2 separate regions of the Mus musculus genome follow, and region 2 is reported to be linked to region 1. The links are microRNA targets in miRTarBase. Many come from high-throughput screens and were not tested one by one. Region 1 holds a microRNA gene; the other region holds the end of a gene's coding sequence.

Region 1 (5,581 bases):
CTATTTTCCAGCATCCCCTGGCCTCCACCCTGTCCTTCTCTAGGGTCCTCCTCAGCTCTTGTCTGTTTTTCTCTGACTGGTTGCTCATTTGCGTCAACATTCTTGATTTGGAAAACAGACTTACTGGGATCTCCTTCATCCTGCAGGATTGTTCTTATAGCATAAGTCGATAACGTAAGAACATGGTGCCTGACTAGTAAATGGTAATGCTATCACCTCTGTCACCATCACTATGACCAGACATATGCTTTCTGACACCTTCATTTTTCATCTTTGTGTGGAAGATAAGGTCTTTCATGGATCCCTAGTTGGGTAAGAGGGCGGGCGACAGGGCTACCGTAAATACAAGACACGGTCCAGACCAGTCTCCTAAGTATTTTATCTGGTCCTCACCACTGTCAGACCGTGTGATTGAGTGGGGAGGGAACATAGAGCTGGGGTCCCAGTTTCTGAACACTGTACTCCCTCTGATACCCCATTGGCAGAGAAAATGATTCCCGTCCCTCAGGACCACTGCACTTTATAGTGTCTTAGGCTGTTAGACTTGTCTCCAGTTCCTTTCCTAAGGAAAAAAACCCAGACTTGTGTGAGAGGGATGTTCTAGAAGCTTGGTTGGTAGCAGTAAGAAGTTGGGGTCTTCTTGAAGGGAAATGATGAGGCTGTTACAGTAATGAAGAGTAATGGTTGCCAGACTGTACAGCGTGAAGATGCTTATGGAATGAGTAAAATGGGGAGAAATGATAACACCTAGGCATCCATGGTTAGTGCTTATGTCACAAAGCTGGGAACTAACGGAGATGATCAGCAAAGAACAGCTAAGACTTGAAATGGGACCAGGGAACGGCAGGCTCTGTGTTTTACAGTTCTGGAAAACAATGTTTGAAAACCACACACATTGAAAATGAGGGGGGCTGGAGAGAGGGCTCAGCGGTTAAGAGCACTGACTGCTCTCCCAGAGGTCCCGAGTTCAATTCCCAACAACCACATGGTGGCTCACAACCATCTGTGATGGGATCCGATGCCCTCTTCTGGTGTGTCTGAAGAGAGTGCCAGTGTACTCACTTAAAATAAATAAGTAAATCTTAAGAAAAGAAAATGAGGGATGGTTGCCGGAGGCGGCCTGTGTGGACCCCTTATGTGTACACTGCTAGGCATTATCCATGAAAGTGTCTCAAAGCAGCTTATCATCCCAAAGCATGTAGCCCCGGGCTTGCAAGGAGGGCCGTCCACCGTGGGAAACTTCTTGCACAATGCATAACATCCTCCTGACAGTTACAAAAGAACTTTTCCTCGGCTTAAAAGAAAAAAAATTACCGAAACAGCAAAACCAGCTAATATTTGAGGTTACTTTTCTCCATCCTGTCCTGTAACCTTAAAGACAAAAATCCTCAGGGTGCCATAAATGGCAGCTGCTCCTGCATACTTGCCATAGTGACTGTGGCCACCCACCCCCATACCACGTGAATGAGGTTATCCTCCACCCAGGCAGAGCACCTGTGCTGCTTGGAGGACTAGTTTGGGGAGGGAGGGAGGGAGGGTGATGACTTCCAGCTGTTTTGATTACCTGGTTCTCAGGTTACCTGTTTTAAAAGGAGACTAGTCTGTGGCATGTGAAGATGGTTCTGGTGTAGTTCCACCCTTGGGCCCTGACCATGGAAGCACCTCCCTTTACCTGTAATCTCTCAGACGTGAGTGACAGACAGGTGCACAGACTCCCTTTTCATTTGGGGAAAGGAGCCCAGGCTCAGAGTGTGTGCCACCAGCATTGTTGCTAATGGCATCCTTGCCACACCTACAGACACGCCTGTGTTCCAAGGCAGGCTGGGAGATACTGCAGAGGTGACTGACTCCCACAGCCATATTCTCAAGCTCAGTCAAACCTGGATGCCTTTTCTGCAGGCCTCTGTGTGATATGTTTGATATATTAGGTTGTTATTTAATCCAACTATATATCAAGCATATTCCTACAGTGTCTTGCCCTGTCTCCGGGGGTCCTAACAAAGTTTAGAAGCAACAGGAAAAAATATATTAAAAAATCACAAGTAGGTTTAGATGACAGAGTGCGTATGTTGTTATGTTTCATTCCATTTCTTCGTGTAGCCTTTAAGACCTGTGTCTTAGTTACCTTTCTGTTGCTGTGACAGGATGCCCCAACCAAAAGCAACTTAAGGCAAAAGGGTGTATTATGGCTTAGTTTATCAGGGGCCAGACCATCAAAGAGGGAAGGCCGGCAGTCAGGAAGTAGAGAGATAGGACAGCAGATGGAGCCAGGCCATAAAACCTCAAAGGCCAGTATGTCCTTCAGCAAGGCTTTGTGAATTCCTAAAGCTTCCATAGCCAAATGGCACTGCCAGCTGAAGACCAAATGTTCAGACACACTAACTTATTATGGATGGGGGATGCTTTGTTTCAGACCACAACAAACTGTATCAATACTACTACATTATCTGTTTGTTGTGGAAAGGGAGTATAGCTCCTGAAGGCTTAAGATATTTTCTAAAGTTTAGTTGAATGCAATTAGGAGTCCTTAAGAAAAGTATTCAGTGGAAAAAGATGGAAGATAACAACCCGTGTCTTTGATATAGGACAAAGGTTAGGATTGTAACTGGCAAACACATTGATCTAGATATTTCTTCCTGACAACTCTCAACACACTCTCACAGATTAAATTTTGTAATTGTTTTCCATGCCAAAAAAAAAATCGGGACATTTATTATCTCTAACTTTCCGCTTCTGGTAACAAATCTAAACCCTGGTGACTGTGCTCACTTTACGGATGGTGAGCCCGTAAACCTTAATTGCAGACCTTAATTTGGATCAGATATGTCTGATGAAGAGAACATGCTCGGGACTGTGCTCTGTCGGTTGAGTTTTCTGTTGTAGGTGAACTTCTGCACAGAGGTTGTTAATATTTAGAAGAACCCGGCAGTCCGAAAGTAAACAAATACTCTAATTGGCTGCCGCAGGAAGTTGGGCTATGACCCAGAAAGCATTCTTTCGGGTATATATCAGCCTCTCTGGCTGCTTTGACTTCTTCCCATAAATGAGTCCGTGAACTGTATGTGAGTTTACTCTGAGCTGTCTAGCACAGAGACTATATAAGTACTTTTCCTGGAAATAGCATGGCTATGCTCCCAGGCCTTGTTGGTTTTACCTTAGGAGGAAACAACTCTTGATGGCACTCCTAACTGTGGATGAGCAAGACCTCTTACCCTACAGGGGCAGGAGAGTAGTTTGACGGGGGTCGTCAGAAAAGGAACTTGGGAATATGTAGAAGCCACCATTGGTGAACGAGTAGTTTTTTTAAGCATCGCTCTAAAAGGTCTTTCGGATGAAGACACTTGCCAGAAGTGGTGAGATTTGGGATGGGGGGTAACTCTGCTGCTGTCTGGCATTCCCATGTGGCTGATTCATATTCTGAGTGGGAGTGGGAACGGGCACACAGGTGTTCTGTGACATGGGAAAGCAAACATGTTTTCTGCATGGCTAAGCTACAGGCTTGGAGCTCACATGCCAGACCTTGGTCCCAGACAAGCAGAGAGTGTATTGCCAGGTGGTTCTCTACCAGGACCTTGTTAGGTCCTTAGATGCATAGAAGGCTCATACCAGAGATTCCTAAGATGAACCAAACTGTATCTCATTGAATAATGGAAAGGCTTCTATTGTCCATACTTCCTATATCAAGGTCCAAGTGACCCCTTCTTCCCCTTTTTGAGAGTATGACAGAATTCTAAAGAATTTATTTTCATCAGAGACTAATTATAAGATCAACTCAGTGGTATTACTTTTTATATTGAATATAAGTTACAAAAAATGTAATAAAGCAATTGTATTATATGGGGAAAAACTATTCCCAAGATACTAACTGTGCAGGCTTGGGGCTTTTCCAATGGATGCTACATGAACCTATTCCTTTATTATCTATCTGGATGTGAAGGTGGTGCGTATCCAGCTACTAACATGACTTGCTCAGCAGTGGTTTCTCTGTGTCACCCTGAGCTTCCCCTGAGACCAGGCCTCTGTGAAGGGTACCAGCTGTTCTGGGAGATTTGCCTTTTGTTAGCTTTATTAAGGATGAAGGAGGTCTTAGAGCCAGCCAACCCACTGGTCCTTCAGAGCACAAGTTGATGTAGCCATGGTATGCTTTGGCCAAGACTTTCTCCCCAAAGCATCTCTCAAGTCAAAACCAGAAGCTAGGCAGGAGCAGCCAGGTTCTGCACAAGAAAGGAAAACATGGCCACCTGTTCCACTCAAGCATCCAACTGTCAGGAAAAGACCTCCTGCACGTTGTGGGAGTCCTAGGTATTGGCCCCCGTTTTTCCCTTGAGGACATTTAACTTACATATAACACATTTACACTTTTAAAAAACTCCACTGGACTTCTGACTTCTGAATGCGACCTTCTTGTAGTAGTGGCCATTCAGTAAGAGACTAACACAGAAGGTGGCAAGATGTGAAATGATGGAAGGGCGAGAAACAGCTTGAATAGCTCTTTGGTACATGTAGCTGCTTGCGTGGAGAAGAGTCATGGTACTTTTTAGCTCTCAAAAAGTCTGGTCTGGGCTGGTGAGGTAGCTCAGTGGATAAAAGTGGCTTGCTTTGCAAGCCTAGCAAGTTGAATTCAATCCCCAGATCCCACAGTGGAAGGAGAGAAAGCTGGCCTGCAACCTCCATATGTGTACCATGACACGTGTATCCACACACATGTACACATACACAGTAATAATAATAAGTAATCGCTTGTAAAAGTCTGGTCTGTATGGACTGGAGATAGAGCTGCTCACTTGATAGAGTATTTGCCTAACATACATGAGGTCCTGGGTTCAGTCTCCAGCCCCCATACACCTGGCATGCTAGTACATGCCTCTAATTCAAGAGACAAGAGGATCAGAAGTACAAGGCCATCTTCTACATGCATAATTAGAGGCCAGCCTGAGACACTGTCACAAGAAAAATTGGGGGTACAGGGAGGAGGGAGAAAAGTATTTTATGGACATTTTCTAAGCCTGAGGCAGAAGTTAGGGCTACTCCTGGGTAAAGGGTCTCAGGGACATAATTCACAAAGTGAATGAGAAGGAGGACTACGGAGCCAGATGCCCTCCCGCCCATACTTGCCCAGGGGACATCAAAGAAGGTGGGTAGGTCACTAAAGACATCAGGAAGGAGGTAGGACTCCTGAGGGTAGAAAAGAGAATGCACTAACTGCTTAATTTCAGTAAACATCTTAGAAAGTTTTAATGTGAAATGGAGACATGTCTAAGCTAGAGGCCAAAGAGAATTGATGAACTGCTCCTCGGGGAAGGGTGGTGCAGGCCTGGAAGTGGCGTGCAAGGCAGTATGGAACAGTGACAGTGTCTGAGTTATCCACTGCCTGGGCCAGTGCTGAGGGAGAAGCCAAAAACAGTGCCTGTCCATATCACGTGTCCCTTGAAGCCTGCTTTGGTCTTTGCATGTAATATGGGATCCGTGTGTACGTGCTTTGTGTAAAGAACCTAAAACGCAATGTTTAAAATATGAGGAACCTGGAAGTGTAGCTCAGTGGTAGAGTTTGCCTCACATGTGCGAGACTTTGGAGTCAGTC
Region 2 (5,284 bases), not on the chromosome of region 1:
CTTTTTATTTTATGACTTACCATACATATTTAATCTCAAATTAGGCTCCTCGATTCTTCTGATTTCTTTCCAATGGAAATAAGCTTTTAAGTTGCTATTTGTATTTAAATTTAGATAAAAATGGATGCTACTGTGGTGAATTTGACACTGAGCACAGAGGACAACTCTGCAGGACAACTTATAGTCTGTGCTTTAGGTGTGTTCATGGAACATTTGTGTGTGTGTTAACTTTAGAGCAGTGTGCATTATTTTTTGAGTATGTTGAAGACCCTGCGAGACTGTGGCTGGAGGTGAGTCACTGTGTTTATTGTTGTGTTGTAGATATGAGCAAGACAGTGGACATGACAGTGGAAGCGAGGACGCCTGTTTTGATTCTTCACAGCCCTTTACATTAGTTACTATAGGCATGAAGAAATTTTTTATACCCAAGTCACCTACTTCCTCTAATGAACCAGAAAACAGAGTTCTCCCCATGCCAACGAGTATAGGGATTTTCCTTGACTGTGATAAAGGCAAAGTGAGCTTCTATGATATGGACCACATGAAATGCCTGTATGAGCGCCAGGTGGACTGTTCGCATACAATGTATCCGGCCTTTGCCTTGATGGGCAGCGGAGGAATTCAGCTTGAGGAAGCCATCACAGCAAAGTATCTGGAATATGAAGAGGATGTGTAGCTTGGACACCCCACGTGACTGATGAGGATAAGAACCGTGAACAAAGCCATGCCTTGATGTTAATCTAATTACATATCATTTACGTCTCTGTCACCACACCTGTTTGTACTGTGTGATTCTTTGTTTTGTCTTGTCCTGCTGTGACACACAGGGTCTTGCTGTGTAGTCCAGGCGGGCCTCAAACTCTGTTCTGTTATAGCCTCTGGAGGGCTAGGATTATAGGTGGGCACCACCATCCCCAGCTAGTGTATGGTTCTTAAAACTCAGAAGGACTTCACAACCTTGTCTCTTCCACGTCATTGTCCTACCTATTACAAATGGTGGGAGTGGAGGCTTTCTGTCTTAACTGGTCTAGAATAGATAACTTTACAATGGAAGTCCTTCTCTTTGGCCACAGGGACTCTAATTGATGTAAGTCTAATTGGTTATTCATGTCCCTTTGTTTGGGGGCTGGGGTGGGATACAAAGTATTTATTGTGGTTCTTTGAGCTTGTTTTTTTTTTTTTCCTTTTCATTTTGTATCATGTTCATGTCCAAAGAGAAGATATTTTTGAATGCTTACTGATAGAAACTAGTACTAAGCCATGTGTCTTGCATTTGATGTTAATAGAAAAATAAATTTATAGATAGGTAAAATGACAAAGGCCATAAAATGGTAGTATATTTAAGTAGAAAGTTGTGTATTTTAAAGTGTGTAACTACTGAGAATATTCATCGCCTGGCAAATGAATACTGCTTTTTTCCCTGTAGACCACAGACTGTATTAGTAAGGACATCTCTAACAGTGTCCTTGTTGTAATGCCCATTGTCTGGCACATGTAACAAGCATCGTTTCATATAAAAACACAGGGTTCTTGAACCCGTGCAACTTTTCACTACAATATAATTATTTCCAGGAAATGTTATCTTCAAATTTTCTTACTTTAGAAAATATTCATATTTATAGCAAAGAATTATTTTTCAGAATTACTAGGGAAGATGGACTGATAGTGAACACGTGTCTCTTTGTGTCTTGTGAATTTTATGGGTTTGGTACTTATGTTGTACATCAGGGTTTTATGGTTTTTGTTTACAAATCTGAGAAGTTCACTGCCCATTTTCAGCAGCATTGAAATACCAGACATGTTACATGTTACTACTGTCCAGTTGGATGGCATTATTTGTGGGCTCATTGTGTGGTCATAAGCACTTGTAGTGTGAATCAGTAAAGTACAAAATTCCTAGGAAATAATATGGAAAATCACAAGGATGTGTCTAGTCAGTTTTTATATCTTTTCTACATTGAATGTTAATTTCTGCAAAATTACCTTCTGATTATTTGAATTGCCTTTTTAAAAGTTAAAATGTCCAGACACTAAGACATGTTTTCAGCACTGATCATGTATGGAATGTTAACATTTTAGTAGAATAACCAAAGCTGTTTATTTTATTTATTTTTTCGAGGCAGGGTTTCTCTGTGTAGTCCTGGCTGTCCTGGAACTCACTCTGTAGACCAGGCTGGCCTTGAACTCAGAAATCTGCCTGCCTCTGCCTCCCAAGTGCTGGGATTAAAGGTGTGTGCCACCACTGCCCGGCTCTATTTGATTATTTTTAATGGAAGCCTGTTAGGCCAATCACACTGCGTCTGACGCAGCACTGACTGACACACACACACACCCCTAAGCTCGTGTAGAAAGGTGTGGAGGATTTGTGTTTAGTGATTGTCCTTCCTCTCCCATTTATATGTAGCACTTTATGACATAGGAAACAGAGAGAATGTGCAGTGTTACCTGGGTCATTGTGCAATAAAGCTGCTAGTGTCACCCGTGTGTGGGTTAGTGTGATACTCAATACTCATGTGAGCACATGTCCTGTAGACGTTTTAAAATATAAAGCTTTAACAGGAGTCAGAGAAGGAAGCTGTTCAAACACTGTATCACTCTATAGAAATTGCTTAGTGGAATTTCAATTTTTAATAAAAAATAAATAAATAAAGGGAAGCCAAGTGTAGTTATTCAAGTCTGCACTACAGGGATTTTTTACTCTGCTTTGTGGAAAACCGAAACAGAACACTTACTATAAGATGCTTTGTGGCACATGTTAATTTTTTTAATTAAAAAAGATTTATTCTTAATTACATGTATGCGAATGTGCATGTACACATGGATGTGAGCGCCCATGGAGGCCAGAAGTAGCGGATGCCCTGGCGCCAGAGTTAGAGGTGATTGTGATCTACCCAGCACTCGTGGAAAGGAACTGGAGACTCCTGGACCAGCAGTACTCACTCTTATTTTTATTTATTTTTTTAAAGATTTATTGATTTATTACATGTAAGTACACTGTAGCTGTCTTCAGACACTCCAGAAGAGGGAGTCAGATCTTATTACAGGTGGTTGTGAGCCACCATGTGGTTGCTGGGATTTGAACTCAGGACCTTCAGAAGAGCAGTCAGTGCTCTTAACTGCTGAGCCATCTCTCCAGTCCACAGTACTCTTAACCTCATATGTTAGTTTATTATTTTGAACATTTATTTAATTCTAGTATGATGCAGCTGATCTATTTCAATTGTCTGCTTATATTGTCATTTCTGGTCCACAGTTGATTACATTTTACCAGGTTTGCCTGTGTGCTTACGTGCAGGTGTGTGTGTGTGTGTGTGTGTGTGTGTGTGTGTGTGTGTGTGTGTATCAGAGAACAAGCTATGGAGAGTCAGTTCTTTTCTTTCACAGTATCTAACCTGGATTTTTAAACTCAGATCTCCAGACTGGCAGCAAGCACCTTAGCTCTTAGCTGACTCTAGATGGTTTCTTAACTGTTAACTTTTTTTATTTTTAAAGGCCAAGTACATTAAGGCTGGATTCCACTCATCTTTGTCTTATTTTCCATAAATTCCTTCCTCCTACCTTGGAGTGTAGAGACGCACTTGCCACCACTTAAGACGTACTAAACTCTCCATACGATTTTAATAAACCACACCTTGCACAACCCTGGATTTGCCTGTCTGCCTTTTGACTCAATCTTTAGCTGGTTTTCAGACAACAGGACTGAGGGTTTGTTTTTTTTTTTTCATAATGACTTGCTCATCCACTCCCCATTGGAGGGTTGTATTAATAATCTGAGGTTACTTCAGTTTGTTAATTAAAAAGCCTGACCTGTTTTCCGGGAAAGCAGGATAGTAGGGTTCTGGTCGATTTTTTTGTTATTACATAACACTGAAAAGCAGCTCCTGTGGAGTAAATGTAAGAACTTAGGTAGTAAACCTGACCATGACCAGATTGGCTGATAGCTCATGACGCTTGCTTCCCAGTGAACACAGATAACTTGAAGAGCTTGTTGAAAGCTGATTTTGATCTCTCAATCTCCTGTCCTTTGAAATGGGCAACTGATACACTTCTCTTAAATCGCTACCAGAGTTAAAATAGGGTGCACAGAAAGCTGTTAGCATAAAGCCTGGAATGGGTACTCAGCAGATAAGCATTTGAAGTGATTAATCCCACCCAGCAAATCTTTTAGTCAATTGTCGATATATTTTGCAAATAACCAACTCTAGTGTCTTAGTTAGGGTTTCTATTCCTGCACAAACATCATGACCAAGAAACAAGATGGGGAGGAAAGGGTTTATTTGGCTTACTCTTCCACATTGCTGTTCATCGCCAAAGGAAGTCAGGACTGGAACTCAAGCAGGTCAGGAAACAGGACTGATGCAGAGGCCATGGAGGGATGTTCCTTACCGGCTTGCTTCCCCTGGCTTGCTCAGCTTGTTTTCTTATAGAACCCAAGACTACCATCCTAGGGATGGCACCACCCACAAGGGGTCTCCCCACTTGATCACTAATTGAGAAAATGCCCCATAGCTGGATCTTATGGAGGCACTTCCCCAACTGAAGCTCCTTTCTCTGTGATAACTCCAGCCTGTGTCAAGTTGATACACAAAACCAGCCAGTACATCTAGTTCATGGAGAAGAGGCAAAGCCAAGCAAACACCTGTAGTGGAAGATCTGAGCTGAGCCCTTGTTTTAAACAGCAAGGTGCCCTTGTAATCCCTGCACTATACTTGCAAAGTCCCATCTCGCCCCTGTATTAGATACAATGGTGGAATCAAATCTTTGCTCAAAGTCCAAGGCAACTCAGAACTACTTTGAGAGCTAATTTGGACCTTCCTTGTAAATACTGTGAGGTCAGCTTCAAGGAAGCCCTCCTTTCAATTGCATTTCCTAAGTTTTCACTGAAGCCTAAAACCTTTTCACTGAAGCCTAATACATGCTGTCAGCCTCCCCTCTGTACCTCCACAGAGGAGTCATTCTCCTCCCCAGAACACAGCTGCTCAGTGTATTCCATCTTGGTGAGCAGTTCTCAAGTGGATGGAATTGTTAGATCCATTCCATTCCAGCAAGGAATTCCATTGTCTTCAATAGGCAGAATTAATCCCAGTAGCGCTCTGTCATTATTGGAGATGCATGTACATTTGTGGCAGTGTTCCTAGATCTGACTTTATTGTTGGCTTATTCAATTATACTCTTCCTTTACCCTAAATTATAAAAGACTTAAAGCGTCCCCCCACCCCTCATGAGCACCATGGTGCTGGGCGTTGAAGCCATGAGCTTACACAAGCCAGACAAGCACACTAAC

The links. Region 1 holds the annotated microRNA mmu-miR-190a-5p (UGAUAUGUUUGAUAUAUUAGGU, at 1,909-1,930, shown strand). A microRNA usually pairs through its seed, bases 2 to 8, with sites in the 3' UTR of a target mRNA and lowers its output. Matches are read on the target gene's strand: a 7mer-m8 pairs with bases 2 to 8, a 7mer-A1 pairs with bases 2 to 7 and ends in A, and an 8mer does both.
Region 2: the mRNA of Trim36 is a reported target of mmu-miR-190a-5p. Seed matches in the 3' UTR shown: 8mer at 747-754.

The regions. Positions count from the first base shown.
Region 1 is chr9:67,233,049-67,238,629 of GRCm38, reverse strand. It overlaps Mir190a (microRNA 190a), which reads left to right and starts at 1,904; the gene lies at 1,904-1,970. The region is part of intron 53 of Tln2 (talin 2); the gene reads left to right.
Region 2 is chr18:46,162,805-46,168,088 of GRCm38, reverse strand. Trim36 (tripartite motif-containing 36) reads left to right here. Exons shown (of 10, transcript NM_001170855.1): 10 at 322-2,789. The coding sequence ends at 676. Among named protein-coding and RNA genes, the nearest start is that of Gm52355, 23 kb to the right of the region's middle.